5 linked regions of the Canis lupus familiaris genome follow. The protein of the gene in region 3 purifies or fractionates together with the protein of the main gene of each other region. This does not show direct contact. Links are inferred from orthologs where the notes say so. Each region holds a gene or a part of one and is shown on either strand. Other genes may lie near its edges. The genes, in order: MAPK11, PGRMC1, DUSP9, MAPK3 and MAPK14.

Region 1 (6,202 bases), on a different chromosome or scaffold from region 3:
GAGTGGGCCCCTCCCGGTGCGCAGATCCCAGGCTGCCCTCCCGCAGCGGGCGTCAGAGGGCCCCGGCTGGCATAGTGTGGGGCCAGGAGGCAAGGCCGGCCAGAAAGGGCCCGTGCCCACCTCTGCGGAGCTCCACCTCCACCCAGCAGAGGGGGACCCGGGCTCACCCCCCTCCCCAACCTGGTCCAAGGATACAGTCATTTCCTGGGAAGAGGGCCTTTCCCTGGAGCAGCTCAGCCATGATACAGCCCACAGACCAGATATCCACTGTGGGGGAAGGAGTCTCCGTTAGTTTGCCTGCCCCAAGTCCCGCCCCCGCCCCCTCCCGAGAAGTAGGGCCGCGCAGACTGTGCCGCACCCTGGTCACACCCAGGCCCCCAACCAGCAGAGCCCTTACTCCCCTAGATACAACTCTGGGCAAGGGGCAGTTAGCCCGGGACCCGCTGCGCTCAAGTGACGGCCCCGGACCTTGCCTGGGCTCAGGTCTGGACACAGATGCCGCCCAGGCCCTAACGCAACATGTCTGCCCCGCCCGCGCAGGCCTCACCCGTCTGGTTGTAGTGCATCCAGTTGAGCATGATCTCAGGTGCACGGTACCAGCGCGTGGCCACGTAGCCGGTCATCTCCTCATCAGCCTGGCGGGCTAGCCCGAAGTCCAGGATCTAGGGCGACCCCCGGGCTCGTCAGCGCCTCCCTGAAAGCACCCCCGCACCGGCCCGCGGGCCCTCTCCAGCGGGCGGCTCACCCTGAGCTCGCAGTCCTCGTTCACGGCCACGTTGCTGGGCTTCAGGTCCTGGAGGGCAGGTGGGGCGTGAGCGGGAGGAGGGGGGCGCTGGGCCTGCACAAGCCCGCCCTCTCCGGCGGTGCACCTACCCGGTGGATGATCCCCGCGGAGTGGATGTACTGCGAGGGGGAGACCGTGGGAGCGTCAGGTGCCAGCCAGCACGGCCCGCCCCGCACCCCCCACGTGCGCCCACCTTCAGGCCGCGCAGCAACTGGTAAACCAGGAACTGGACGTGTTCGTCGCTCAGCGCCTGGCACTTGACGATGTTGTTCAGGTCGGCGCCCATCAGGGTGGTCACCAGGTACCTGGGAGGGGTCAGGGGTCAGCAGGCAGCCCCCACAATGCGCTCCCGAGCCCCGCATCAGCTGCCACTCACACTTCGCTGAAGTCCTCAATGGAGGTGGCCGGCGTGAACACGTCCAGCAGCCCGATGACCTGCGTGGGGACGGGCGTCAGGACTCGGCGAGGCGCCCTGGGGCTGTGTGCCCCGTGTGTGCCCCACCCCCACCCCGCTGACCTGCCCCGGCGCTCCAGGCTCACATTCTCATGCTTCAGATGCTTGAGCAGGCGCAGCTCGCGGTAAGTTCTCCGTGCGTGGATCAGCGACTGGAAGGGGCGCGACAGTTTCTTCACCGCCACCTTCTGGCGCAGCCGTGTGTCGTAGGCCGAGCTGCAAGGTGGGTGAGTGAGGCGGCGGGGTGGGGGCTGGCCATGCACCCAGGGCCCCTGCCTTTTTCAGAGGGCCCCTCGGGTGCACCACTGTCCATGTGGCCAGCCCGAGTCCAGCACCTGGGGAGCCTCTCCTCTGTGCCTCGTTCCTCAAGGGGCACCCACTCTCCAGTCCCCCTTCCCACACACATCCCAGCCATCCCAGGTCCCTGCCTGCCCCGCCTGGGACCCATGGGGCAGGATCTGGATCTTCTCCCCACAATCCAGCATGAGGCTGGGGGACAAACTCCACCAACCAGGTCAGGAAAACAGACATTGTGAACCATCCCCTTTCACCCCAAACGGTCCTCCTGCTCCCCTATGGGCCCACCACTCGTGGAGGCCCCCCCGGGTTCCAGAGCTACCTCCAGAGCCCCTGGACCCCCCCCACCTCTGAATATTCAAAATATGGATAAAAAGCTAGCTGAAAACGTTTACTGCGTTATTATTTCTAAGAGTGAGAAACTGGACTATACGAAGCATTCAGCAGAGGGTGGTGTCTGGACCCACAAAACATTCCCCTAGGCCCGCCCCACCCCCCAAGTTCCAGAAGTTCCACTGCACACCAGCTTCCACACCCCTCCACTCTGCACTGGAAACATCGTCTCCACACGCAAACGGCCTGTCACCGCTGGGCCCTCCCAGAGTTGCCGGCCTGGCCCTGGGGCCGCACTAGGCGTCCTACCTTTACAGGGACCAGGTCCTCACTGCTGCTCAGCCCTTCCCTCCCTCTCCTTTACCTGCACCCTCTAGAATTGTGCTTCCCCCAGGAGTGCATGCTGTCTACATGGGGAGCGGCTCCTGCAGCACCTGAGGTGCTCACGGGGCCCGGGGCAGGGGTGCAGGAAACCCAGTAGGTGTCTCGGGCCTCCATGCCCCTTCCTCCAGGCTGTAGCTTTTGGGGGAAGGTCCACGTCCCTTCTGGGGACACAAGCAGGGGAGTGGCCCCTCACGTGGGGCAGCAGATCCTTTGCTCAACTGTGTGTGCAAACTGAGTGACAAAAATGGGCACTGGGTCACAGCTTCACAGAACACGGGAGCCCAGGCGAGGGCCATTGCCTGCACTGGAGCACCGGCGCGTGCGGGCAGTGGGGAGAGACCCAGGGCTCCCCCGGGGAGTGTGATGCTCCCTAGGGACCCAAGCGATTCCAGCAAGACTCTATATTCCCCAGAGGCCACCTATGCACTGTCCTGATCCTCTTGCCTTTGAGGTCCGTCTTAGGGATGAAGACAGGCCCGAGGCTGGAATGCATAGGACAGCCAGCCTGGGGCCTCCCACACGTCGGCCAGTGACAACAGATGGGGGGACAGCAGCCCTGCTCCAGGCCCCAGCACTGAGCCCCTGGAGGGGTCAGGAAGTCCCCCAGGAGCAATGCCCCATCCCTAGGGGCTCCGGCCTCCCCATGTCTAAGACCTCCCCAGCCATCTGGCTGAGGCCTTGGGAAGGACCCCACTGGTTTTGGGGAGCACCTCTCAACATCCACATCCACACTCAGCTGGTCAGTATTGCAACTGCACTCCGAGTTCCCGTAAGCACCTTACCCTAAACCCCTCAGTGCCTCCCTAACCCTACACAGGTCTCAGCCAAGTCCCTTCCTCGCTCCCACTTGCAGACTGTCCTCGGGGGCCCAGGGACCAGGTGCGGGCTGTAGCCTGAGGTCTCCTGGTTAGAGCAAAAATGGAGTGGGGTGTAGGCCGACCCCACAAGTATGGTAGGGGGAGACGGCAGGCATCTCTGCTGGGCCCTCGGAGGGGGACGGCAGGCATCTCTGCTGGGCCCTCGGCCCCATCCAGAGTCTGAGACCCTTGGGAAACGGGAGGGGCAGGACCGGCCCCGGAGTTGGAGGCCATTGCAAGGGGAGGGGTCCTACCCCCCCCCCCAAGTTGGGTTCTTTTCTTTTGCAAACAGAAGTACTGGCTGGTACCGCACCTGCCAGACCCCGGGGTGCCGGCCCTTGCCTGGGGGCGAGGCGCACTCTCACGCGTGTAGGGCCCGGGGAGCCGCCCTTCCGCCGACCGTGACGCCGCAGGACCGGGGCCTCGGGGCGCTGGGGGGGGACGACCCCTCCCCGCAGCCCCGGGCCGCGTCCGGGGAAAGTTTCCTTCCGCCCCCGCCCCCATCCTCCGCGGCGGCCGGGATGGCCCGGGGCGGGGGCGCGCGAGGCCCCTCCCCACGCCGCGCTGCCGGCCGAGGGAGGGAGGGAGGGAGGAGGGGAGGGGGGAGGGGGGAGGGGGCGCGCCCCGGTCCCGCCCGCGCCGCCGCGCCCTGCCCGCCGCCCCTACCAGACCGAGCCGTAGGCGCCGGAGCCCACCGGGCGCAGCCCCTGCAGCCGCCGCGGCACCTCCCACACCGTCTTGTTGAGCTCCTGCCGGTAGAAGCCTGCGCGCGGGCCCGACATGGCCGAAGCGGCCGCCGCCCGCCCGCCCCGCCCCTGCCCCCGCCCGCCCGCGCCCCCGCCGGAGCCCCAGCCCCAGCCCGAGCCCCAGCCCCAGCCCGAGCCGCAGCCCGAGCCGAGCGCACGGAGGGCGGCGGGAGGAGGCGGCGGCGCGGGGCGGGGCCGGGGAGCGCGGGGCCCGACGCGCGGCTTCCTGCCCCAGCCGGGCGGTGTCTGGGCGGACGGCTGCCCCCCGCCCCATCCGGGGCCCGCACCCCTAACCCCTGCGCCCCGCCCCCTCCCGGGCCCCGCACCCCGCACCCCCTCCCGCACCCCTCCCGGGCCCCGCACACTCCCCCCCCGCCCCGCACCCTTCCTCCCGCACCCCTCCCGGGCCCCGCACCCCCCCCCCGCCCCCTGCCGGGCCCCGCACCCCCAGCCTCCGGCTGCAGCGCGCGCTCGCCGGGGCACCGCCCTGCCCGCAGCCTCAGCTCCCCGCCCCCTCCCCTGCCGGCACCGCGGGTCCGCGCACCGGCCCCCCCCACCCCCCGCTCCGGGCCCTGCACGACACCCCTGCGCAGCTGCATAGGAAACGCCGCCCAAGGAACCCGAACACTTGGTGGGACGTGGCCGTGGGGCAGGCAGGTGGGTGGCCCGGCCCCCCCCCGCCGCCCCGCCCGCGCCGTGGCCCGTGTCCGGGGCCTCCAGTGGCTGCGCGGCGGCTCCCGCTCGGGGCTGGCCTGGGCACCGCCGGGGGCGAGGCGCTGCTGGTGCGGCCCGAGGACCAGCCCCTTCAGGACCAGGGACAGCGGCAGCGCCCGGCCACCTCTGAGGTGCTGTACCCACAAACAGCTGCCCCCAACCGGGCCCCTTCGGTTCCCAGCTCCTCTCCTCCTAACCCCCTTCCGCCGCCACCTCTTGCGAGAAGCCCACCCTGACTTTCCCATGTCCTGCGCGGCTCCTCCGGGGCATCACCGCAGCTCGTTCCCTGTGTCCCCTCGGCAGCGCTGCCCGTCCCTCACCCCGAAGGGCGGCCTCGCCTCTGTCCGGTGCTGGGCTCGCGCACCTCTCCTTCCCCCTCAAAGGTGACCAGCACTGCCGGGTGACAGGTGCCTTCGGACGCGCGATGAGGGCGGGGGCAGGGCTGGCACCTCCGGGGACATGGCAGCCACGCCCTCTTCCAAACAAACCAAACCCTGAGATTTTATGTGAAATCTGCTGGCTTTAAATACCAGCAGCCAAATTAAAGCAAAGCGTTGTCAGGGCAGCACCGGGCAAACGTCACTGCCCGGCGCATCGGGACTGCAGCGTGAGCCGAGCCCCGCCCGCGGCCAGCCTGGCAGGACCCCGGCCTCAGTTTCCCCTCTGGGACCCCGGTGTCCCCGCCCCGCGGGGCGGTGCCTGGGTTTTGTGCGGAGCCAGTGCAGCTTCAGCTGAAGGCGGGGAGGGGGCGGCCTTTGTTAGCGCTGGGGGTGCCCCCAGGTTCCCATGGCGACAGGGCCCTCCTCCCGGCCAGCGTCCTGCCCGGAGGACAGAGCTCCATGGGAGGGACCCCGGTGGGACCCCTGCTGGGCCTTCCCACAATGCCATCCCGGCCACTGGCTGCAGGAGGTGGCTGCGGCCAGGTGACAGGCCTGGTGGCCTGCAGCGGAGAGCAGCGGGGAGCGGCAGGTGCCTCAGGTGGGAGCTGGGTCCCGGTGGGGAAGCCGCGGGGAAGATGCCGGCCCTGGGCCTCGGGACCCCATCCCGGTCTCCCCACTCCTTCGCTGTTATCCCTTGGTGTCCAAGGTCTCTCTCCTCTCCGTGTCCCCTCCACTGCCCAGGCCACCCGTAGGCCGGCAGGAGCTCCCCTGAGCTCCTCACATGGAGGCCCCTGATTCCGGGGAGGGGTCACTGGTTTGAAAGCAGGGTAGGGCCTTGGGCAGCTTTCTGCAACTTGGCAGGAAAGGTCATGGAGGCCGTGTGCTTCCTCCTGTCCTTGCCCCCACCTGCCCCACAGGGACACGGGGAAGTGGACACGGGAGGGTGGGTCATCGTCAGTTTGTCATGGCGACCACTCCAGGCTGGCCTGCCCCACCCCAACATCCACACCCAGTCTCTACCCTCACTGGCCCTAGAAGGACACCTCCTGCCCTCTGAGGGGGGGTAAACCCCCGTTGGGCCTGCAGCCCTTCCTCCACTGCCTGCATGCCCCCCAGAATGTGAGGGGTCCTCACTGGCTGCCCAGTTGGGGGCTGGCAGGAGTGGCTGGTGGAGGGCTGGCAGCCAGGCCCCAGGTTCCCACCTCCGCCTGCTCCAGGTGCCCCCAGCTTAGCTCTTCCAGAAGGTACCCCAC
Region 2 (5,030 bases), about 31 Mb from region 3:
TTTTCTGTTTGCTGTTCTCTATAGCCAGTTAAATATTACTGACTCTTTTGGCTGAATCCAACCATTTTCTTTGAAAATAATGCTGACTTCAGAGTCTGGGTTAATTATTAGCTAGCTGTGACTCACTCCACCTTCAAGTTTTGGGTCCCAACTGGACAGAAGTGTAGCTTTCAGGTCTAGAGGCAGGTTTTTACTTTGAAAACACAATTCAACTAACATCGTCCCTGATTTTTTTTTTTATTTGTATCCAAAGGATGCCTTTGTAAACAGAGGTTCTTTTATGTGGAGCTGCCGAGTTGTAATTTCTGACTTAACAAAGCTCAATCTTCTAGGGCTTGCCTTCACCAGGGAGGTAAAAACCATAAAAACTTTCTCCCCCTTAAACTAATAAGACCAGGCCCATATTCTGTGTTGACACTTGAGCTCCACTCGAGACTGGTGTGGACTCTCCTTCAAGCAGGTTTCTTGGGCGCCACCCAGCTTTTGTCTTGCACAGTCCTGAGCACCCTAGGGACCTTCATAACATGTTCAAATAGGGAAGTTCCTATTGTTTCCAGTGATTATTTCACACAAAAGCAGGCCTGGCTACCTGGTTAGACAGGTTGGTTACTCCTCTAATTTCTACCCATATGCAGAAAGAGGAGACTCTCAGCCCTCTAGGCCTCTGACATTGATAAGATTAACCCTGTGTTAGCTGGGCCACAAGAGAACAGCCAGTGTGGTGGTTGGTGGTCTGTTGACTCTATCCCCTCTCTCCTTTTTAAAAAAATTTTTATTGAAATTCAGTTTAAGTAATCTATACTGTATTCTTAGTTTCAGAGGTAGAGTTTAGTGATTTCTTGAGTTGCATACAATGCCCAGTGCTCATTCCATCACGTGCCCACCTTAATGCCCATCACCCAGTTTAACCCTAACCCCATCCCCCCATCCCCTCCAGCGACCCTCAGTTCTCTATAGTTAAGAGTCTCTTATGGTTTTCCTCCCTCTCTGTTTTCATCTTTATTTTTCCCTCCCTTCCCCTATGGTTCATCTGCTTTGTTCCTTAAACTCCACGAGTGACATCATATGGTATTTGTCTTTCTCTGACTGAGTTAATCTTGCTTAGCATCATACACTCTAGCTCCATCCACATCACTGCAAATGGCAAGATTTCATTCTTTTTGGTGGCTGAGTTTCTGGTTTGCAGTCTTAAGTCTGTTTTCTCCAACATCTCCAGTGCTCTCCTGCCTCCTTAATCACTTTCTTTAACTGCCCTGCACAGCTTTTTTCCTGGGGTGGAGAAAACATTCAGTCTCCTGCTTTCGTTCATCCACTAGACTCCTCATCCCTTCACCACCAACCATCTGAGAAGTGCTTGTCCCCAACCACTACTTCATTTCCTCCCCATACTTCCTTACTCTCTGAGACAGTTTGCTGCCCCACAATTCCACTGAACTTTTCTTTCTCAGAGGTTTCCAGGAACCTGCTTCTTGCCAATATTAACTTCACTTTTCCAGCCCTTGTGGACTTCCTGTTGCGTGCCCCCCACCCACCCACAGAGGGGCTCCCTCTCCAGAGCTCTCAGTTTGGTTCATGGAAGCTCCAGGCTTAACTTCATCAACTCACGTTTCCATTTTCCTTTAAAGTAGCTCATATCCTAGCCTTTCTGTTCCCATGGACACCCTACTCCTGGCTCTTGTTCCTTCACACACAGATCTACCCACTGCCCCCCCACCCCGCCCCGGGCAGCCTGCGCCTGGTCTCCTGGCTCTAATCCGCCTGATATGCCACCACCATCCCATGTTGGCCAAAGCACTGGTTTCCTGTGTCGTTCTTTTGTCACACACTTTTGCCACCTATAGGATTAGGTCCAAATGCTTCAGGTTGGCTTTCCACAACCTTCGTAATATTTACCCACACTGCTTAGCCATCTGCACTCCCACTGTTGCTGTCAGCTTGGTCTCTCTATGGCTCTCCAGATCTGTTACATCTCCCCTGCATGCCTTTTTGTACACTGCAATTCCATTTTCTGGAAACCCCTCTCGTCTCAGATCCTTCCGTGCATTTCCCAAAGCATTGCCTTCTTTGGGAGGGTGTTCTAGAATCCTCACTCACAGCTCATGAGCCCTTGCTCTTCTCACCCCCTCCTGTCCACAAATACGACTCCCTGGGACCTTCCCAGTGCCCGACATCACTACCTGTTCTGTATTTCTCCTGAATGAAACTCTTAATTCCCCATTGGCAAGGACTGTGCTGTATGTCCTCTGTGATTGACAACTTCGAGAAGCCCAGCACATTGCAGCACAGGCGGTAGGCCTCTACCGAATGCTTTCCAATGAAATGTAGCGGTTCTCTGTAAAGCGTGAGAGTGCTCATTTGTGTTTTCTTCTCTCCCTCCAGTCAAGTATCATCATGTGGGCAAACTGCTGAAGGAGGGGGAGGAGCCCACTGTGTACTCTGATGAGGAAGAAGCAAAAGATGAGAATGCTCGGAAAAATGATTAAAGCACCCAGTGGAAGCATATCTATTTTTGTATTTTGCAGAATCATTTGTAACATTCCAGTCTGTCTTTAAAACATGGTGATTTCGATATTTAGAGAAGTTTCGAACTTGCTGTAAGTTTTTGTAATTAACATCACTAGTGACACTGATATAATTAACCTCTGTCTCCAAGTGCATGACGTGTTTGTGTGTCACAGACCCAGACCGTGAACTGCAGTGCCGTAATCCAAATGTTGGCACTCTCCTTCTGTCTGTAGTTAGTGCAGGCTGCCTTTAGTTTTTCCTGAGAGAGACAGGTAAGACTTGGGTATTTCCCCCAAACAGGTAAAAATGTTAAATGGGAAAAGTCCTTCTAGTCCCGAAAAAAAGGATCCCCTTCTGGTCCTGATGTCCTCAAGAGTGCAAAGCCCTTCCTCCTCAATTGACTTAACTGCATGATTTCTGTTTTATCTACCTCTAAAGCAAATCTGCAGTGTTCCAAAGCCTGCCTTGGTATTGACTAAAGAGAGCTGCCCAGGAAAAAAGAAAGAAATCTTAAAGCTGGGCTTGGTTGAGAAAAATACATTCACTGTGTTTCTAGACTGCATCATTCTTTTTGTCCTCCTCTGGACACTTAGAAGCCCCCACTAACACAGCAATGTATAATAAGGCTCTAAAAACACCATCTGAATGTTCAAAAGAAAGCTTCGGAAGAAATCTACTGGCTTCCCGAAAAACCTAAATATACAAAGAAAATGTAGAACTATTTCCCCAATCCCCATGTTCACAGTGGGACAGTGTTGATTTCACACAGTTTTTGCCGTGAGAGGGATTATGGTGAACAGAAGCAGGCGTTTGCCCTCTGGAGAGCCTACACATACACCGCACAACACACGCCCCTGAGGAATGAAGAAAGTACACATTACTAGCCAAATGGTTTTTAACGTATATTTCTTAAGGTAACAGTTATTCTTCCCTTGTTACAAAACCATAGCCACTGCAAGAGTAGTAGGGCAAGAGTCAAGGTCTTTGATATTGGTCTTTTGGTTAACAATAAACTTAGCTTAAGTAGACTGTACAGTTGTATGAATTTGTAAAAGTATTATATGAACAACTAGTGAGGTTTCAAACTCTTGTAACTGTAGTTGAATAGTTCTTGTATTTTCTTGTGAACCGTGTTTAATGGTTTTACCTCAAATCAGAAAACAAAATGAAGTGCTTTGGTCAGTTAATAAAATGGTTTTACCCAGTATAGTGTGGTGGGTTTTTAAACCTTTTAAGGTTTCTTAAACCTTAACCTAAGAAACCAGATTCAATCATTTTACTTTAGCTTAATGCTCAGCTCCCCTTTTGGGGGGGTGTGTGTGCGCATGCATGAGTGTGTGTGTGTGTGTGTGTGTGTGTGTGTGTGTATTCCAGTAAAGGAGCAAAACTGCAGAGGCCTCACACCGAAAACCAAATACCAGCTTGTCCTGTTAAATAGTGAATTGAGGGGTGCCTGCGTGGCTCAGTAGGTTTAGCATCTCCCTTTGGCTCAAGTCATGATCTCGGAGTTCTGTGTCTAGGCTCCCTGCTCAGGGAGGGTCTGCTTCTCCCTCTGCCCCTCTCTCCCCACTCATGTACTCTTTCAAATATATAAAATCTTTTTTAAAAAACCAGTGAAATGAGATTAGCTAGCCTGCCCTAATGAAAATGCAAAAACCAACATTGTTTTTTAAATTAGTAAATTTATTTTTTGTGACTTGTCAAATTCTGCCTCTAAACTCAGAGGCACCTCTGCCTTGAGGTCCAGAGCAAGGTTATTACGGGGTAGCTTTACTAAGGGCATAAAAAGTGCCAAGGCAGCGTTGGTTCTGTTTTCAGATATCATCTGATCAGGAAAGTATTCAGGAATTCTTCTATCCTAGCAAAATCAATTCACCTCTTGTCAAAAGATCAAATTTGCATATGCAGTTCATTGTGTAAACACGTCTTTCTCTGAATATTGATGTTTTGTCATTTTAACATTCAAGTTGGCAGAGTCTTATTACAAGGGAAGTATTCTGACCTGAAAGCTTGCAGCTTTCCAGTTTTTCTGTTTCCAAACCATTGCCTGTTTCTGTTGTTTTTAAATGAGCCTATCCCCCCAACTTGCTTTCATTCAACTGATATCTGAGTTGCCCATTTTGTGCCAAACACCCTGTTATACCGTGTGCTTTGGGGAAGGGGGTGGGAGGGAGAAAAGTTGGGCCACCTTGCACCCTGAAATCCCATTTAGACCGAAGTGAAGATCAGGCTACTCCTTCCGAGTTAAATGGGTTTGTCTGATGCCAAGAGGAAATCGTCCAGAGCCTGGCTAAAGCTTCGATCTCTAACCCAATTCCCCGCCATTCCGAATGAAATCAACATTATATTGATTACATGTAAAAGGCTATTACTATAAGGCAGGACTCTGGTCTAAAAACTTCTCAAATCCAGCTAGCATATTCCAAAACCACATTATATAAAAGGTGCCATTCAAGATGGGCGTGGTGGTTACAGGCTCCTGGCCAGCAGGGGAGGTGTCAGGTGAACCCCACAGGTTTGTGCCC
Region 3 (6,049 bases):
CCCGCTCGCCTGAGGCCTAGCAGGCCTGCGCCTTCAGAGCCCTCGGCTGGCCTGGCCATGTGGGCTGGCATTCTTCTCCTGCGCCCTGGGTGGGTCCTGTTGCCTGGAGAGCAGAGGCCGTGGGAGGGCTGGGGTGGGAACTTTGCAGGGGTGGGGGGCGGCCTCATTCAATCTAAATGTTCCTCCTCCAGCGTTCAGCCCTGAGTCACTCCAGCGCAGGGTGGGGGTGGGGAGCTGGGGATCGGTTAATCCAACCTTTCGGGGGCAAAAAACCCTCTGCATCAGCTCACCAGGTCTTTGCTGGGGGCTGGCTGAGTGCCTTGGGCCCTGGGCGCAGCCACCATGGATCTTCCCCAAATGGGAGGACCTATGGGGCGGGGGGAGGGTGGGATGAAAACTAGCACCCCTCTTTTTTGGTCTCTGTATGTTTTCACGTTTCGCCTGATAAAATGGTCCTATTACCACGAGGCGCAGCTGCCAGCCTATGGTGATCGCGGCCAAGGCGCCTGACTTCGGAGCACCAGCAGGGCGGCCTGGCAGAGAAACGCGGGGTTCGCGCAGCAGGAGGGCCCACACACAGCCCGCTGGACGCACCTGCGCAGCCTGTTTGCGCCGTTTGGCTCCACGCTGGACCCGGAGCCCCTAAGGCCGAAGGGCGGCTGACAGCACCAGCCTGGCTCTGCGGCTCCCGGGGCCTGCCTGGCAGATGCACCTGCAAGGCCCCGGGGCCAGAGCAAAGGGGGTTTTGGGGTGAGCGTCTGCGGACGCTGGAAGGGGCAAAGGACAAGGCAGGTATGCCGGGCGCTGGCAGCAGGCCCCCCCTGGGGCTCACACATCGCGCCTCCAAAGTGCAGCAAAGCTCGTGGGGCCCTGGGAGGTCACGAGGCCCTCCCCTCTCCCCAGCTCTACAGGTGAGGAAACTGAGGCACCAGAGACCAAGCTGCCCCTCTCCTGTGGTTTCCAGGAAGTGACTCAGGGGAATTCGGCCCAGCTGCAGGCAGGAGCCGGCCTCCCTTGGCTGCCCCCTCATCCATGGCGCTGCTGGCATCCCTGCTCTGCGCGCCTCCCTCCTGATGCCATCCCGGCCTGGCGTCGCCTCGCTCTGGGCTCCCTGAGCAGAGACGCCGGAGGCCTGCCAGCAGCTGGCCCACAGCAGCCCGCAGCCTCCTGCTGCTTCTCTATCCCGTGCCCCACGTGGGGGGGCAAGTCAGCTACCACTGACCTGGGAGCCCCCTGCGCCCCCTCCCTGCCTCCTCTCCCCCACCCCACCCCCCGCAGTGAGTGAGGCCCAGAACCCAGTGCGTCCTGCTGTTGACACTGGAGGGGGGCTTCCGAACCCACTCTGGTGCTGCCACTACATCGTGCTTGACCCCAGGAAGCCACTGCTTCAGTGTCCCTAGCTCTCCGGGGCAGGGGGGGCAGTCCCCTCTGACTCCCGGACTGGTGTGGGCACAAAATGAGGTCCTTGGTGGAGATGCTCGGGGCCTCGGCTGCGGAGGACAGCGAAGTGGGCCGCCACAGTGCCCCCTCTCGGGCCCTCCCCCAATGCCCTGGCTCCACCCCTTCCAGGCACTGAGGCTCAAACGCTATTATTATTAGCCAGAATCTGATACAGGAGAATGGGAGAAGCCAGTGCAGACGGACCTGGGACTGGGGGGGGGGGGGGCAGCACTGTCAGATGGACCCTGTGTGGCAGTAGGCGGTGGCCCTGGGGGCCAAGCTGTGCCCGGTCCTCCACGGGCCCCTTGGCTGCCCTCCCGCGTGGACTCTTGGGTGCCACCCTCCCCCAGCCCAGGTCCCGCCGGGTCAGGTGTCCCCCCACTCCTGCGCCCGAGGCCCGGGCCGGGGCCGCGCGAGCATCCCTCAGGGGGCCGGGGCGGGCGGGGCGGCCAGTCTCGCAGGCGGGAGGAGGGCGGCCCGGGGCGGGGAAGGTGCAGGCCGCGCTCCCTCCGCGCTCGCTCCGCGCTCCCTCCCCGCGCGCCGCCGGCGACATCGCCCCTCCTGGGCAGGGGGCGGAGAAGACGGCGACGGGAGGGGAGGAGGCGGCGGCGGAGGCGGGCTTTGGAGTTTCCCTCCGCAGCGGCGGCGGCGGCGGCCCCTCGGCTCCAGGCGAGGCCGCCGCCTGAGGCTCCGGTGGCGCTCGGTGGCAGCGGCGGTGGCGCTTCCCGCCGCCCGGGCTTCGGAAACTTCCCGGCCGCGACGCGCGGAGCCGGCGCAGGAAGCCGAGCGGATCCGGGGTGAGCGGAGGTGAGCGGAGGTGAGCGGAGCACGCGGCTCCCCGGCGCCCACCCACCCCACCCCCACCCCGCCCGGCCGCCCCCTCCGACGTGAGCGCCTCCACCCTGCACCCCAAAGTCTTGCCAGCGCGCACCCCACGGGGCCGACGCACGCGCCCCTGCGAGCCCCACTCGATCCTGCCCCCTCACACCCCCCGCATCCCGCCCGTGCACCTCCCTGTCCTCGGCCACGCACATCCCCTGCCACTTGCACGCGCGCGCACAAACCGCGCACCGGGGACCTAGTCCTGCAGCGAACGCAGCAGCAGCCCCTGACCCACCGCCCGGCACTGCCCCCAACTCAGGCGAGCACCCATCCCAGACCCTGCCATGCCTCAGTACACACCCAGGCGCGTGCGCGCGCGCACACACACGCGATACATCCCTGCCATAGCTGCACTAACATAGCTCCCCTCGCCGTGCCACCACCATCTCCAACAACCCATATGCTCATTACAGACACCCCACCCACGTTCCCAGCCCAGAGACACTGCGATCCACCTACCCCCGAGTGAAGACCCAAAACTAACTCATGCCCCAGCAGCCGACACTCCCCGCCGCCGCAGCCAGGCCCATTCCCCAGGCGCACACCTCCTGCCTCCCCAGCGTGCACACTCGTACGCCCCAACACGTATGCACACCTGCTGGATTAACCCTCTCTGGCACCCTGCCCCAACCCCGTGGCAAATAGCCCCCAGCACCCCCCCCCCACCCAGCACATGCCCGAGTCCCTCCCACCGCCACCCCCTGACACCTGGCACTCGGGCTCTAGAGGCTGCAGCATTTGGTGGCATCCCTGCCAGGTGCCTCTGGCTCGCCTTTGGCGCCAGCAGCTCGCGTCCTGAGGCCCCCTGGGTGCCAAGCTAAAGCGATCCTGAGTCTCCCCAGCGACTGGCTTGGCCTCTTCCCTAAGAGATAGAGAAGGCACTTGGGGTGCAAGGTACCGTACTTAGCTGTGGGGTGCGGGTGGGGGGAGGCGAGGCAGGGCGAGGTGGCCCAGCTGCGGCCAAACACACGCCGCGGGTGGCCGGGCACGCACGTAGTAGGTGGGTTGGGCGAGGACAGGAGTCTGCTGCAGTGTGTGCGCCTGCATGCGCGGTGAGCGGCGGGCTGTGTGTGCGTGTGCGTGGGGGTCTGTGGGGTGGGAAAATGCGCGTGAGCCTCCGGGAGAAGCAGCACCCGCCGGGGCTCCCTCATGCAACAATTGGTTTCATTCATTCATGACTTCTTTGTTAGCGAGCATTTCTTCTGGGAGCGCCGGCCAGGCCCTGCGCGGGGGGCTGGGGCAGCCTGGGGCCGCTCCGCCTTGGAGGAACTCCCAGTCCTGCGAGGAGCCCGACCGGGAAAGGCAGAAAGCATCCGCGGCGGAAAGTGGATCTGTGGACGAGGCGCCGGATCTGCCAGGGACGCTGGCGCTGGGACTTGTGCTCCCGGCCATGTGACTGGGCCGCCACAGCCGAAACCCTGCCCGCCGCTCGGCCCGGCGGGAACCGGGCGCTTCGGGGTGAGGGGTGGCGGGGGAGGGGGCGCCGCTCCCCGGGGCTCCGGGGCACCGGAGGGCGCACGCGGCGCGCGGGGTCTGCGGCCCCCCAGGGGCGCCGGCCGGGCTGGGTGGAGGCTGGGGGGGCGCCCGGGGGGGGGTGCTGGAGGGGCCGGCTCGGGGCCCACCCTGCGGCGAGCGCGCGGCCTGCGGGCCTGGGGAGCCGGCGCGGGGCGCGGCGGGGCGGGCCCACAGGGGTGCGGGTGCGGGCGGCCGGCGGGGGTCAGGGGGTGGGGGGCTTGGCTGCGCGCAGCCCTGCACTGCGGAGGTGGCAACAGGTTCCAGTTTGTCCTGCTGCTGGCGCAGCGGGCGCTGCTGGCGCCGGGCACCGACTACTCACTTGCGAGATTGGATACTGCGCCCCCCCCCCCCCGGGGCCGCTCCCTCCCGGTTGGTGGGCTTGCCAGCGGCGGGAGCAGGGTGCAGGGGAGCCCCTCCTCGGGCGTTGGGACCCGCAGGCTCGGTACAGCCCACTCGGGGGGACTTTCTTGGAGCCAAGCTTGCTCTCCCTTCAGGGGTGCGAAAGTTGCCCCCAACCCCACCCCACCTCGCCTCACCTCCACCATCTTCCCAGCCAGGCTCCCCCCCCCCCAGCCTTACAGGGAGCCCTCTCCAGAAAGCATGCCTGGGCACCTCAGGAACCCCCAAGCTGCAGCTCTTAGGCTTTGCAGCTTCAGGGAACTGAGGCCCAGAGCGAGAGGAAGGAGAGGACAGGAAGGCTGCCTGGAGGAGGGCACCTGGGGGAGGAGGAGGGGCCGCTGCAAAAGGAGCGGAATCTGACTAGGCTGTGGAGGAGGGAGGTCTGGGCTGGGGGCAGGGGGACACAGCGGGACTCCTCCCAGAGGCCAGGCCGTGGGCCGCAGCCCCACAGGAGCCCTGGGCTGGCAGCGCAAGAGGAGGGGGACCCTGGAGGCCCCTTGGAGGGCCTGGCTCCCCGTAACCTGCCCTCTCCCTAGTGTTACTTCTCCAGTTTTCTCTTCTTATTTCCGTGGCTCAGGAGAGGAGTCTTCATCCGCGGCCCTGAACCTGGTTATCGTAAACGTTGGCCTGCCCGCGGTTTTGCGTCCTCCGCGGCTTAGTTTCCCATCTGGTGGTGCCCGTCCTGTGTGCCTGCCTTTACTCGGTTCCCTGCGGTCGATTCCCAGAAGTGGCCAGAGGGTGTAGGTGTCTTCGTAGCTCTGGACGCCTATGACCAAATGAATACCCAGAAGGGCCACACAGATAGAGAATCCTCCAGCAGCAGCAGTAGAGCAGCAGGCTGACTCTGCAGCATCGTTGGCAGCACTGAGTGTACTCATTGGGAGAACATTTTACCAATGTGACAGGTGGGGAGTGTTGCCTTGTCTCTGAAATGTGCCTGCCTGCCTTCCATACCTGAGCTGGAACCTTCCCCCAGATGTCCTGTGCCCAGGTGCACTCAGTTGCATCTCTTCCCTCATGCGGTCTTTTCTGGTTCCTTGCCCATTTATCAGAGTCTTAACCTTTTGATTAATTTGTATGAGCTTTATCTTATCTGCTCTACATTTTCCTTCAACCCGGCCGTTTGCTCTCAATGGGCTTTAAGCAGGGAAGGGACACTTATCGCACCCAGCATTATGTTGTTCTGTGTCCCTGTTTATCACGCACCTATCCGGCTAAACTGGGAGTGCGGTGCAAGCAGGGCCCCTGTGCGTCCTGCCCTGTGTGTCATCCTGTGCCCGTGGAAGGTATGGAAGCCGCTGGTGTTTAATGAACAAATGGCCTGGGGCAGGGCAGAGCGGGGTGGGGGGGTGGTTGAGGCGGACTGGCCTCCCCGGAGGCAGGGACAGGGGGCTTTGGAAGCCGCGACAGCCACCTGGCCAAGAGTTGGCCAGTGCAAGCCCTCGGCTCGCGCAGGGAGCAGACGGGAGCGTGCAGGTGTGAGAGATGCGCTGAGTACAAAGTCGCTGGCTCGTGACCAGGGAGGAGGCAGAGGGAGATGCCAGGGATGAGTCCCGGGACAGTAACGTGGCAAGAGCAGAGCACCCAAGTTTAGGGCTGGGTACTCAGAGCTCCTGGGTGCCTGGGGTCATTCACTCCTGTGCGAGGGAGGCCCTCGGGGGTCCCCAGAAGCTGTCACATGCCCTTGGGCAGAGTTCAGGGCCAGAAGACAGCAGTGGCTTTCTGCCCTTGCTTCCTCCTCCGACCGTGATCTCAGTGGCAGCCCAGGGCAGCCCAAGGTGGTGGCTGTGATGAGCCCATTGTATAGATGGGG
Region 4 (6,040 bases), on a different chromosome or scaffold from region 3:
ATCCTGGAGACCCGGGATCGAATCCCACGTCGGGCTCCCAGTGCATGGAGCCTGCTTCTCCCTCTCCTTCTGCCTGTGTCTCTGCCTCTCTCTCTCTCTCTCTCTCTGACTATCATAAATAAATAAAAATTAAAAAAAAAAAAAAAAGACAAGTATCAATCTACGAAATAGACCAAGGAAGTACCAACCTCAGCCACTAGAGGGCAATCTGAGTCACACTCCTTCGAAAAAGACTAAAAAGCAGCTTGATGTGGCAGGCACCACTCCCGATGCACCAGCCTTTCCTCTGCCGGGAAGCTCGGTCCCGCTCAGGAAACCTGGCTCCACGCTGAACTCCGTGGTGCTTTCTCTGAGTCATTAGATTCTCCCACAGTCGCAAAATGATCTGGCAAAAGTCCCTCAAAGGCTTTTACCGCTTACTGAGTCACATCCAAACTCCCTGCCTGAATCCAAGGCCTTCCTCAATCTGGCCCCCAACCTACCTCTTCAGCCTGAACCCCTTTTAATCCTTTATACTGCAGCCACACTAGACAAATCATGCTCCTGCCTCTGTGCTGGGGCTCACGCTGCTCCTTCTCCTTGATGCCTTCCCTCTATGCCGACCTTCCAAAACCCCACTTCTTTTTCCATCGTGCAAATGTTATCTCCTCCTTAGCTCCCTCCCTGTTTCTCTAAAGGAGGGCGATCTCACCAACCCTGAGCTCACACACCATATACGACATCCATCTATCTTGTATTACAGTGATTTATGTATGTGCATCTTTTCTCTTCAATAGATTAGAAACTCCGTGGGTAGAGAGACCAGAGAGTAATCTGCCCAGGGTAACACAGCAAGTAAGTGGTAAAGATGAGATTCTAACCCAGGAAATCCAGACAGCTCTTGCTCTTACCCACTAGTTCACAACTATATAGTAATCTTTCATTAGCCACAGTGCCTACCTAGCTAGGAGTTTTGCACACAGTGCAATTCAATTGCTTATCAAATGAATAATTAAAAACAAAACAAACAAACAAACCTACCCTGAAACATTGATCTAATTAGCATCTCTTAAACCTTCACTGACTTGTAGGCTATTGGGAACCAGCTACTCAGTCTCATTAATCTGAATTAGAGTGCCTGGCTGTAGATCTAATTATGAGCAATTTCAGAATCATAATTACTGTTCCATTTGGTCTCTTGATCTGTAATGCACATAAGGATCTACTCTTAGCTTCTAAGGGATTATAAAACAAACAAACAAACAAAACCCAACGTGGTTACTTACTGAAGGCTAGGAGATGTGTTTTGTGAAGCGTCCAGCTCACAGCTTCTCTGTGAAGTGAGGGGAATGGACTGGATGGCCTCGGAGGGCCCTTTCCTGGGTTTTAACAGGCTCTGATTCTGGGAGATTGAATGGAATTGAAAAGAGCCTCTGCCTCTGTGTCAAAAGATATCATTTTAAGTCTCAACTCCCCATCCATACAATTTGATTTATCCAGTCAAAAATCTTTGAACGTCTGAGCGTCAGGTACAGGGGAGGATACAGTAATGAGCAAGACAGACATGGCCCCTGCTCATCCTGTTAAGAAAATCGGAGGACACCTATAATGTGCGGTTGTCCTATGGAAGAAACCCAGCTGGTCCAAGTATGGTGTAAACTACAAAATCTTGCATCCCATCAAAAGATGGTGATCCTGCCAGGATTCCAGTTTCACCAAGTCCAATGACAACAAAATCGTCACCTATTTTGCTGTTTTTTGAGAGAAGCCTGATAGTGTATTTTAACCAAACCTGGTCAACACTGCAGGCAGCTTTCCCGCCCTTCTGTTGCAGTTCCACCTAAATGGGCTGAGGTTATGGGTGCTCACTTCCAGCACTGTACTGTCGCTGGCAAGAGGCCAAGCCCCTAGTCCACTCTCGCAGGCCTGTCAGAAACCCATTAGGCTGAGTCTGGACCTGCGGGTTCTCGGTGGCTCCAAGTCACCAGCCTCGGCCCCTCATCTGTGAAAGGCAGGCCGTATCTGCGAAGAAGCCATCTCCCACGCTACTGGGAAATGCGGATGCGGCCGTGTGTCGTCGGGCCGAGCCTCGCTCGGAGGCCACACTCCAGAGGGCTGGGGAGGGCCCCCTTGGGGCTCCATCTCGAGCCCCGGGCCGCGACTCGGTTGGCAGCAGAGCTGGCGGGGCCAGGCGACTCGGTCCCGGCCCCAGCTCCCGCACCCGCTTGCTGGGTGGCTCCGGGAAGGTCACCTGGCGGCCCTGCCGGCTATAGCCTGCATTCGGCGGGAGGGGTGCACCGTCTCCCGGCCGCCGCGCTCGTCCCTACGGGCTGCCAGCAGCAGACGGAGCGGCCGGGCACCGGGGACCCGGGCAGCAGCCGAGGGCGCCCGGGAGCGCGCGGGGGTCACGTGGGGCGCGCGGGGGCGCGCGGGGGCGCGCGGGGGCGGGGCCTGGCGCACGCGGCTCAGCCGGCGGCGGGGCGCGGGGCGCGGGGCGCGGGGCGGGCGGGAAGGGGCGGGGCCTCGGGCGGGGCCGCCGGGGGGAGGCGGGGAGGCGGGAGGGGAGGAGTGGAGATGGCGGCGGCGGCGGCGGCTCAGGGGGGCGGGGGCGGGGAGCCCCGGGGAGCCGATGGGGTCGGCCCGGGGGTCTCGGGGGAGGTGGAGGTGGTGAAGGGGCAGCCGTTCGACGTGGGCCCGCGCTACACGGAGCTGCACTACATCGGCGAGGGCGCGTACGGCATGGTCAGGTGAGGGGGCGTTCCGGAGGAGGGGGCTCGTGGGGGGGCGCGCGCGAGGGTGAGTGCCCTCGGGCCGGGGCGCTCCCAGGGTCCCGAGGAGGCGGGGGCTTCACGAGGCCGGCGGGGCGTCCCACGGCGCGGCCCTGGGGTGCTCTGGGGGAGCGGCGCCGCCTACGTTCTAAGGGGAGGGGGCTTGGGAGGCCTCAGGAGCGACCATTCTGTAGTGAAGGGAGGGGCATCGGAGTGTCCGCGGGGGAGCCGTGGGGGGACCCTGGGGACTCTGTGGACGCGGGAGGAGGCGGAGACACGAAGTATTCTTGGGGAGGTGATATCAGTGAGGACCGAGTGAAGGACCCTACTCTGGGGAAAGGATGCCTTGGATTCTCCCAGTGAGGCCTGCCAAGGAGCTGGGGAGAGCAGAGCTCAGGGCTGGGCAGGGTGGGGCAGGGCTTTGGGCCTGGGGCCAGGAGCCCGGTGACCCATGAGGGGTCCAGGGGTGCGTTCTTGCAACTTTTAGAAGGGGTCTGTTAGCTCTCTCGTCCCCACTGTGTGCTCTGGGCCTTTGTTCATCTGGGAACAGCTCTCCTGCCCAGGTGCCTGACCCTAACACCTCATCCCTTCTTTCCCATCCCTCCTGACCGCCTCCTTCTCACTGTGCCTCACTGTGCGTCCTGCACTCACCTCCCACTCCCTGGACCTGTCTTGGGTTGAAGGAGCCCAGCCTGGAGAGGGGAGGATGAGAGGTCAGGGCAACTAGAATGGACAGGGCTGAGGAGAGGGGAAGTCAGTGAACGGTCAGTCTCTTCCTCTGTTTGTGAAGTCACCGAAGGGCTGCCTGGCTGGTCCCCAGCTTTCTCCCTGGAGATCCCAGGCCTTCACAGCAGGAAGGAACCAGCATTGTTTATGACTTGGCCAGAGTCCTCTCATGCTCCCTCCCCTCCCTGCTCAGGCCTGGGTAGGGCCACCAGGCCTGGACTCCCCCTATGTAAGGCCACACCAACAACATCTCTCTGACCCTCTCAGCTCAGCTTACGACCACGTGCGCAAGGTTCGCGTGGCCATCAAGAAAATCAGCCCCTTTGAGCATCAGACCTACTGCCAGCGCACACTGAGGGAGATCCAGATCTTGCTGCGCTTCCGCCATGAGAACGTCATTGGCATTCGGGACATTCTGCGGGCGCCCACCCTGGACGCCATGAGGGATGTGTATCCTTCACCTTGGCCAGATGGCTGGCTAGGCATAGCCTCAGAGCCGGGCTGGGAGAACGTTGGCTTTCTTTCTGTTTCCTTCTTTCCTGCCACACTCCAAAACAAACCCAGCAAATGAAACTTTCCAGCAGAAAAGAGACCACAGAGTGTAAGAGGACTGGGAGGCCTGAGGTGAATCCTGGCCTGCTGTAACCAGGCTGTGTGGCCTTGGGCAAGTCTGTGCTCCATGCTGTGCCTCATTTGGGGGGAGGGTGAGAGTTGGGCTCTATGGGAGCTTTGTCTTTTGACATCTGCATTTCTGTGACGTGACCCAGCCTCTGCCCACAGACAGTTCTTGTTTAACAGATGATGATTCTTTCCTCTCTGGGTCTGCAGACTGGAAGGAAGGCAGGAAGGAAGAAAACTGCCCGTTCTGAAGGGCCTACTATGAGTGAGGTGCAGTGCACGCCAAATGCTTTGACACTTCTTATTCTACCTCCCAGCTGCTGTATGAGATGGGTCTCATCAGCTCCATTTCAAAGATGAGAAAACTGAGGCTCAGAAAGCCCCAAATCAGGTGCTGCTGTTGCTGCCTCCTAACCTCCCCCAGATGAGAACTGTCCTTTCTCTGACATTTCCTGCTCAGAGCCTCACCCCAGTCACCTGTGGACTTGCACTTCGCCCAGGGAGGGACAGCCTTGTCTTTGTTGCCCTCCCCCCCCCACATTGCTTCCCTAGCTTGTCGTCCACTTCCTGTCAGGCCCTGTTGTTAGCAGCTTATAGCACCCATCACCTCTCCCCACCCTACCCACCCCCAGCCAGTCCCAGTTCTCCACCCAAATGTGGGGATTTGTGCTGCACTGTCTGCAGCCCCCACCACAAGCTGTGGGCAGGAAATCTCCACACTCGCCACTAGCTTGCTGTGTGACCTTAAGCAAGTCACTGCATCTTGCTGGGCCTCCTCACCTCTCAAACAGCATAATCGGCCCAGGTGTCTTCAGAAGGCTCTTTCAAGGCTGATTCTAAAAGACAGCCCTGACTTATTCTTTCAGAGAGCAACCAAATGGCATTTATTTATTTATTTATTTATTTACTTAACGTATGTTTAATCTTTGTTTTCTCTTAAAATACCAAAGGACATTTACTCTTCCATCTTCTGATGTATGGCCAGGCACTCTTTGAGGAGGAGCATGCTGTTGGGAGTTTCTCCTCATTTGTCTTGCCCAAACCATTCCCCATAAGGCAGGCATTTATTTTTAAGCAAACATTTATTGCATGCCAGATGGTGTTCACACTATCTCATTTAACCCTCTCAACAGCCATGTGGCTTAGGCATTTATCATAGCAACACTAGTTCATGTTTGCTGAGCACTTACAACATGCTAGGCTCTGGACTGGGCCGGCTGGTTTCCATGGGTCACCTCACTGAGTCTTCATAACTGCTTTCCAAAGAGCCACTCTCTCTCCCCTGCTTTCCACATGAGGAAATGGAGGTGCAGATGGGTTGAGGTCATGAGGCCAATGAGCAGTGGAGTGGGGGTTTGGCCACCAGCAAAACAAGTCCAGAGTGGTTGCTCTTAACCGTGAAGCTTTCCTGCTTCCTGCAGTTTATCATCCCTGCTTTTCCCAATAAGGAAACAGAGGCCACGGAATGGAAGTACTTTTGTTCAGGGGGTGCCAGCCGAGAATGCAGCAAGAGGCCCTGAGCCCAACTGCTGAGCTTGGGCCTTGTCCAGCTCATGATATGGGTTGAGTCTTAGGGACACTAGCTGGAAGGGGATAGGAAGCCTAGCTGCCAAAGTCTGTTCTTCTTAACCAAGCGCCTCCCGCTACCCCCACCTGGGGGGGCTCTTGTGCCATCCTCAGCTACATCGTGCAGGACCTGATGGAGACAGACCTATACAAGTTGCTCAAAAGCCAGCAGCTGAGCAACGACCATGTTTGCTACTTCCTCTACCAGATCCTGCGAGGTCTCAAGTATATCCACTCAGCCAATGTGCTCCACCGGGATTTAAAGCCCTCTAACCTGCTCATCAACACCACCTGCGACCTTAAGGTCAGAGGCTTGGGTGCCTGTCCCCTTGTCCCATGGGTCTGGGGCTTCCAGGTGACCAGTAGACCCCTTGAGTAAACCA
Region 5 (6,199 bases), on a different chromosome or scaffold from region 3:
GGGACTCGATCCCGCGTCTCCAGGACCACGCCCTGGGCTGAAGGCGGCTCTAAACCACTGAGCCACCCTGGCTGCCCAACTGTGTCTATTTTTAAATTGCCTTTTGTCAATCAGAAGTGGCTGGCACAGAGTAGGCATTCGGTACATGTTTGTTGAAAGAGTGACTGAATGTACTGTTTAGTTCATTTTTACCCTTTCAGTCACTCCCACTTCACTATCCCAATTTGGTGGATAATCATGAATTCCTTAGGTTCATTCCTACTGCCGAGTTTCCTCCCTTGTATCCATCCACTCATCACCTTGATTGCCCACTCCCACCCGCCATTTCTTTCCAATCACATTTTTGCTTCTCGCCTCTTCCTTCAACCTTCATTACTTCTTGGAGGGCTCCCTAAACTGCAGGTAGCCTTGGAACATTTTCAAGCAGCATGTCTTCATAGGCGAGAGAATCCAGACTAAGCCACATCGGATCCTCCAAGAAAAGCTTTCCAGGAATGACCCATGACTCTGGTTTTTATTTTTGTTTTTCCTTGAGGAGAACTGAGGATCCTGCACTCTCTCCTAAGTTGAGATCATGGTCATTATTCATAATTTGTTCAATAAATATTTATGGGGTACCTATTATATTCTAGGCACTGTGCTAGGTGCTGGGACAAGATATGCAAAATCTGAGCATTCTAAAGGATGCACGACACGAAAGAGAATAATCACGGGAAGGGTTGAGAGGTGTCCTGGCTTGGACCCAGTTACTTCTAAGAGACATTGTAACAAACTTTAACAAAGGAATAAGTTGGTTACAGTGGCTGTAGGCATGGTTATATAGTATCTTGCTCACTCACACTTACTATCTTGTTCAGCTTTACAGGTAACCCTATTAGGCGCGGATGTAAGGCAGGAATTACTTTTGCAGAAGCTGGAACTAGAGTCTAAGAGAGGTCAATAGACTTGCCTAATAGGACACCCTCTGCCTTGCTCTCCTTAACCTGAGGCAAGAATCAAGCTTCAGAGCAGGATTCAGTTTCAAACCCTCAGAAGTACTCTTTTCAAAAATCCTTCTCCAAGGGGGATGCGGGAGACTTTCCTGAATCAGAACTGCCTGGAGCATATTATAAAAATGCGCGTTCTTGGCGCCTATCACCGACCTATCCACTTAGACTCCCTGTGGGTCCTGGGACTTGGCTTTTTTTTTTTTTTTTTTTTTTTAACACTCCAAGTGTTCTTTTGCACATAAACGTTTAAAGACCGTTAGGAGAGTTTGGGTGGAAAACCTCAGACTTAACGTAGAGCTAATACTTGCTTTCGGGATAGGGTCCGTCACAGTTCCGAAGATTAAGCCGTATGTCCCCGAACATGGAATAACGGCTTTCTGGCTGGAACCTTCCTTTTCCAAATGTAAGTATTTCTTGGAAGTTGGAGGTTCTGCTGAGCAGATGCTCGGCTGCTGGTGACTACCGGCAGTTCAAAGATCTTTTGGCTCTTTTCCCGACACCCTATTAGTCGCCGTCGCCTCCCGCCACGGAGCCGGGCGTTTGCCCCGCCGACCACGGTGGGGCGCACGCGGCATACGTTGCCTGCCTGTCCCTCCCTTTCCCGGGTCCGCCTTCGCGCCCTTAAGAGCAGTCCCCGAGAGTTCCTGCCTCTGGTCTCCAGCTGTTGCCCTTTTCTCGCGAGAAGTGCTCCTCCCATCCTCTCCGGTAGTCCACCCCCTCCCGTGGGCAGGTTCCATATTGGGTAAAATCTCGGCTCGCGGAGAGTCCCGGGAGCTGGTCTCGCGAGAGTACGGCTAGCGACTCCTGTTCGCTGGCTCTGGAACGGCGATCACTGGAACTTGAGCGGGCGCTGCAGCTGGAGCCGCAGTTCCGCGGCGCAGCCCGGGGTCGGCCTGGTCGGGGAGAGGGTGCAGGGAGAGCGTGGTGGGCGCAGCCCTGAGCCCCGCAGCCTGCCCCTGCCCTTCACCGGGCTCGCCCGGCAGCTGCGGCTGACAGGGGCCGCGCGCGCGGGAGTCGGCGGGGTCGCGTCTGCCGCACCTGCGCCGACTGCCAGCTCCGGGTCCCCGCCCGGCCCGGCGGGCAACGAGGGCCCGGGAGCGGGAGCGGGAGCGGGTGCGGGTGCGGGCGCAGGCGGGGCCCCTCAGGGCCACCTCCTAGCCCCGCGGCCGCCGCTGGAAGATGTCTCAGGAGAGGCCCACGTTCTACCGGCAGGAGCTGAATAAGACAATCTGGGAGGTGCCCGAGCGTTACCAGAACCTGTCCCCGGTGGGCTCCGGCGCCTACGGCTCCGTGTGGTGAGTGTCACCGGGCTTGGGTCTGCGGCGGGCTTGGTGGCCTCAGCACCCCAGAACCAGGCCTGCCCACACAGCTCAGCGATGCACCAAGCGGTAGGAATTTTCTCTGGGGGAGGGCATCGTTGCCCATTCGACCCCTGTGCTGCACGCCCGGGACCCCCTTGCACCCCTCACTCTGCACCCCCAGGGAGGCGGTCGGCTGTGTGCAGGATGCAGGTCCACGGTGGGCGGTGGTGCTGGAGCTCGGCCCTGCCTCGCACCCTGCGCAATCCCTTCTGGGGGGGTGGCTGCTCGGGGGAGGGGGGCTGGCACAGAGGCCGGGGCGTCTCTCCGGGGGTGGGGGGTGTCTCCCTGCCAGCCTCGAGCCGAAGGAGCCTCTCCGGAGGTGCAGCCACTCTGGGCGCGCGGGAGCCTGCCCTCCAAGCAGACAAGCCCGGGGGGGCTGCAGGGAGAAGCAGAAGGGCCAAGCTCTACGGGAGACTGCGAGCGTCGGAACAAAACTGACGACCAAGGGCTTTCTGCCCTGGCTTTTTTTTTTTTTTTTTTTTGCAGACCTCTTTCGAAATCTCATTTCGAGAGGCATTCTTTTCGAATTCGCACTTGCATTAGCAGCGACCCAAAGAACCGAAAATACCGACTTTATCTCGGCCAGCCTAGTGCCAGCTTGAGTTGTGTGTTTCCGATTCTGTTGAAAGCGTATTTCCTTTTCGCTGAGTGGGGGTGGGTGGTAGTGCCTGCAAGAACACTGCAGCTTGAGAAACTGGCGGCTTCACTGATTAGTCACATACCACTGCTCATTTAAGTATTGTTTGGCAAAAACAGTTTTTTCACTTGGAGCAAGTGAGATTCAGATCCGTTGGACGCGCTCAAGATCAAAGAATCATGAGCAATCTGGGGAGGTATTGTAAGTATTTCTTAATTGCAGTACATCTTGTGAATATTGTGTTTTTAAACTTCTTTAGAGAGTTCGCAGGGAACTGATCTACATTTGTAGCCTGAGGTACACGATGGTTTTCATAAGGATAGGGAATATATAGCAAAGGAAGGGAGAGACACTTCTCAGCTTTAATTCACACTGTGTTTTAAATTAAATCGATCCAATAAAATTCTTGGATCTAAAATATTTCACTAGTTTAGGTATTACACACCATATTTTAGAGTTACTGTAACTTGAGAGCTGCTGATCTGAAACTAATTCCTGTATTCATGTGAATCATTTGAAAAGGGCTCCATAAGATTTTGGGAGGGTGGGGGTGGGGGTGAGGGAAACGAATTCCAGACTTTTGGATGTGTTAATCTTTATAATTCTTGTGTTTCTTAAAGTCACATCATGAATTTCCTGTTTGCTAGAATCTTCTGGGTAATTGAGATTGTGCAATTGTGTCAAGCAACAGATCATATTGCATTTTCTAGTTCAAGCTGCGTGAGTTCATCTTGCTGATGGTCCCGTGCTTGACATCTTTTCCTCATTTTTATAATATGGCAGTTTACGTTTTAAGGGAATTTGCAACATTTTACTGTATCCATCTATATGTGTGATTGATTTGCAAATTTTCAGAGATATATTTGGATCATGGCTCCTTTAATAGCTTATTATTTTACCACTCTTTTTCATTCTGTTATGTCATAATTGACATTAATTTTCGTAGTACCAAGTTTCTGTTTCCAATGATGTTTAAACTTTAATGAAATGATACAGCAGAATAGCTCAACTATGGGGAGTTTAGTGGACCTGAAAACAACTGCTTGCAAGGTCTTCCTACTGTTGGTATGAATAGCTCTGTCCTGGAACTGCAGATTCAGATTTAGAGTGAAGTATCATAAAAATGACCTTTACATTTCCTTAGTACTATACTTTTTTGGCTTACAGAAGCCAGAAATATCTGACACTTGGAAGTGATTTTGTTAAACATATTTTAAAAAATATGTATAGAATTATATACACATTGTATAAAATTCAAAAGGCGTAAAAGGATATTTAACGAAAGGTATCCTTTCCTTTCTTGTTCTCCAACTGTGCTATTCCTTTCCTCTGAGACAGCCCCTGTTAAGTTTCTTATGTGTCTTTACAAGGAGGCAGAGCCCATTCATTTGTTTTTAGTAGTATTTCTGTTGAGGGATTTAAAGTGTGACATATGGTATATTGGTGGAAGAGAATGCATCTTATGTGTGTCAGTTGACTATGGCAAATATAATTGATTTTGGATTGAAAATATCAGAATTTAGATATACATAAGTAAGTGGCATCTCATTCAGAATTATTTGAAGTTATTCTTTCAGTTCTTTCAGATTCTTAGCAGTGTTTTGGGTGTTGCAGCAAACTTTTTTTTTTTTTTTTTTTTTAATTTCTCTTACAGCATTCTGGAGCCTGTGTTATTTTTCACTGCCATCATCCTTTAAGAACAGATTTGATTTTAGGGAATAAGAAAATCAAGCTGAATTCAAATAATTTAGAGAATTTGTACTCAAGTCTGGCGAGAAAGATTAGGCATTCAGGTTGGTCTTGTTTTAGGTCAAATAGGAGTTATAACTATAAAGTAATGACAGAATTTCTTGTGTGACTTGTAGAACTGGATCTGAAGTCTGTTCCGAAAAAGAATCTCTGAAAGCATTTTAAGGAATGCAACCTCACGCAAATATCTGTCAGTTTCCTAATTTGATTGCTCCTAAGTGTGATATACTTTGATGTATATTAAAAGTTTTTTATGTTAAGCCTATTTTCTCATTTTAATTTTCACTAAGTCTACAGTAAAAAGGCAAGCAGCAGCCTGTATGCTATGAATCCAAGATCAAGGAATCAGACTAGAAATTGAAAATTGATAAGGTTTTATTTTTTTAATTTTTCAATTTTTTAAAAAATTGATAAGGTTTTATAATATACCTTTCCTTTTTAAAAGGTAAAGGGAACTAAATAAGTCTTGCAGTTTTAAGGAACTTTGTTGCATTGTCTGTGAGGGGAAATGAAGCAAAATTGTTTAAGAATACTTTGTTGCAAAGCATTGATTTTCTGGTTTTGGGACAGAAGGAGGGACTCTTTGTGGTGAGTTTAAGGAAATATAAACAGGAACTTAAATGCCTTTCCTCTGGGTATGGTTTTTCCAGACCCTTGCTGTTGATTAGAGGAGGTGGGGCCCTGGTAGCCATAAAATAGGTAGCCATAAAATAAAAAATACTCTTAAGTCATAGTCCTTTGTTGATTCAACAACACTGAATACCAGCTACGGACTAGATAATGGGCTAGGTTTCATGAGATAGAGTGCTGAGCAAGACAGTGAGATAATCCATTCCCTCGTCAAGCTAAGTCTAATGTGAATAAAAAAACTACATTTTATGGATTGCTTACTGTTCTAGGCATTTTACTGTGTAGTTTATATTTATCACGAGTGTATTTAGCCTATGCAAGATTTTTTAGTGAGAGGATGGCAAAACTTACTAAGAAATCAAATCCAGCTTCCTAAATGCTCTGTGGAATAAGACTGTATATACATGAATATAATAAACAAAGCTAAGGTTTAGTGTTAATAGCCATTCACTGTTTTAAATCTTTTATTCTTTTCTTTTAGGATGAGCCAGGGCACAGATAAATGAAAATACATCATTATTGACTATGCAAAGATGACTTTCTTGACTCCTAATCAGTAAGAGGGGCCTGCCCTTTACTTTTCTGGTGACGATAGTAGGCCCTTACTGAACTTTCTTCCCATTTGCTTTTCTTTGTAACCGAAAGCAAGATGGTTCACTGCATGTTGCCAGTACCAACAACAAATAGATATTTAAAGATAATTGCAAATATTTATGTTATTGATATATAAACATAAAGAATTAAAAAAAATAATTCAGTCAAATTTGTTATAAAGTAATTTTTCTAATTGAATCCCATTTTGATGGATTCTGATGCTTTTCTCTGGCTCCCAT

Evidence for each region.
Region 1: the proteins of DUSP9 (region 3) and MAPK11 purify together in Homo sapiens (affinity purification with mass spectrometry; 4 studies listed by BioGRID and IntAct, with this or other methods). This does not show direct contact. The link is inferred for Canis lupus familiaris from reciprocal best matches to the Homo sapiens genes DUSP9 and MAPK11.
Region 2: the proteins of DUSP9 (region 3) and PGRMC1 purify together in Homo sapiens (affinity purification with mass spectrometry; 3 studies listed by BioGRID). This does not show direct contact. The link is inferred for Canis lupus familiaris from reciprocal best matches to the Homo sapiens genes DUSP9 and PGRMC1.
Region 4: the proteins of DUSP9 (region 3) and MAPK3 purify together in Homo sapiens (affinity purification with mass spectrometry; 4 studies listed by BioGRID and IntAct, with this or other methods). This does not show direct contact. The link is inferred for Canis lupus familiaris from reciprocal best matches to the Homo sapiens genes DUSP9 and MAPK3.
Region 5: the proteins of DUSP9 (region 3) and MAPK14 purify together in Homo sapiens (affinity purification with mass spectrometry; 8 studies listed by BioGRID and IntAct, counting the BioPlex papers as one, with this or other methods). This does not show direct contact. The link is inferred for Canis lupus familiaris from reciprocal best matches to the Homo sapiens genes DUSP9 and MAPK14.

What each region holds. Positions count from the first base shown.
Region 1 is NC_049231.1:17,882,920-17,889,121, reverse strand, and holds the start of MAPK11 (mitogen-activated protein kinase 11), read right to left. Parts: upstream 3,909-6,202; 5' UTR 3,892-3,908; coding exon 3,776-3,891; intron 1,455-3,775; coding exon 1,325-1,454; intron 1,220-1,324; coding exon 1,161-1,219; intron 1,090-1,160; coding exon 978-1,089; intron 904-977; coding exon 874-903; intron 794-873; coding exon 746-793; intron 663-745; coding exon 548-662; intron 268-547; coding exon 196-267; intron 1-195. UniProt on the Homo sapiens protein: Serine/threonine kinase which acts as an essential component of the MAP kinase signal transduction pathway.
Region 2 is NC_049260.1:92,014,994-92,020,023, forward strand, and holds the end of PGRMC1 (membrane-associated progesterone receptor component 1), read left to right. Parts: intron 1-2,379; coding exon 2,380-2,483; 3' UTR 2,484-3,712; downstream 3,713-5,030. UniProt on the Homo sapiens protein: Component of a progesterone-binding protein complex. Binds progesterone. Has many reported cellular functions (heme homeostasis, interaction with CYPs). Required for the maintenance of uterine histoarchitecture and normal female reproductive lifespan.
Region 3 is NC_049260.1:122,650,510-122,656,558, forward strand, and holds the start of DUSP9 (dual specificity protein phosphatase 9), read left to right. Parts: upstream 1-2,102; 5' UTR 2,103-2,257; intron 2,258-3,079; 5' UTR 3,080-3,216; intron 3,217-3,512; exon of another isoform or gene 3,513-3,780; intron 3,781-4,813; exon of another isoform or gene 4,814-5,141; intron 5,142-6,049. UniProt on the Homo sapiens protein: Inactivates MAP kinases. Has a specificity for the ERK family.
Region 4 is NC_049227.1:18,278,102-18,284,141, reverse strand, and holds the start of MAPK3 (mitogen-activated protein kinase 3), read left to right. Parts: upstream 1-2,539; 5' UTR 2,540-2,553; coding exon 2,554-2,726; intron 2,727-3,740; coding exon 3,741-3,923; intron 3,924-5,771; coding exon 5,772-5,961; intron 5,962-6,040.
Region 5 is NC_049233.1:5,325,587-5,331,785, forward strand, and holds the start of MAPK14 (mitogen-activated protein kinase 14), read left to right. Parts: upstream 1-2,168; coding exon 2,169-2,284; intron 2,285-6,199. Other genes in the region: SLC26A8 (testis anion transporter 1), read right to left, coding at 1,298-1,352. UniProt on the Homo sapiens protein: Serine/threonine kinase which acts as an essential component of the MAP kinase signal transduction pathway.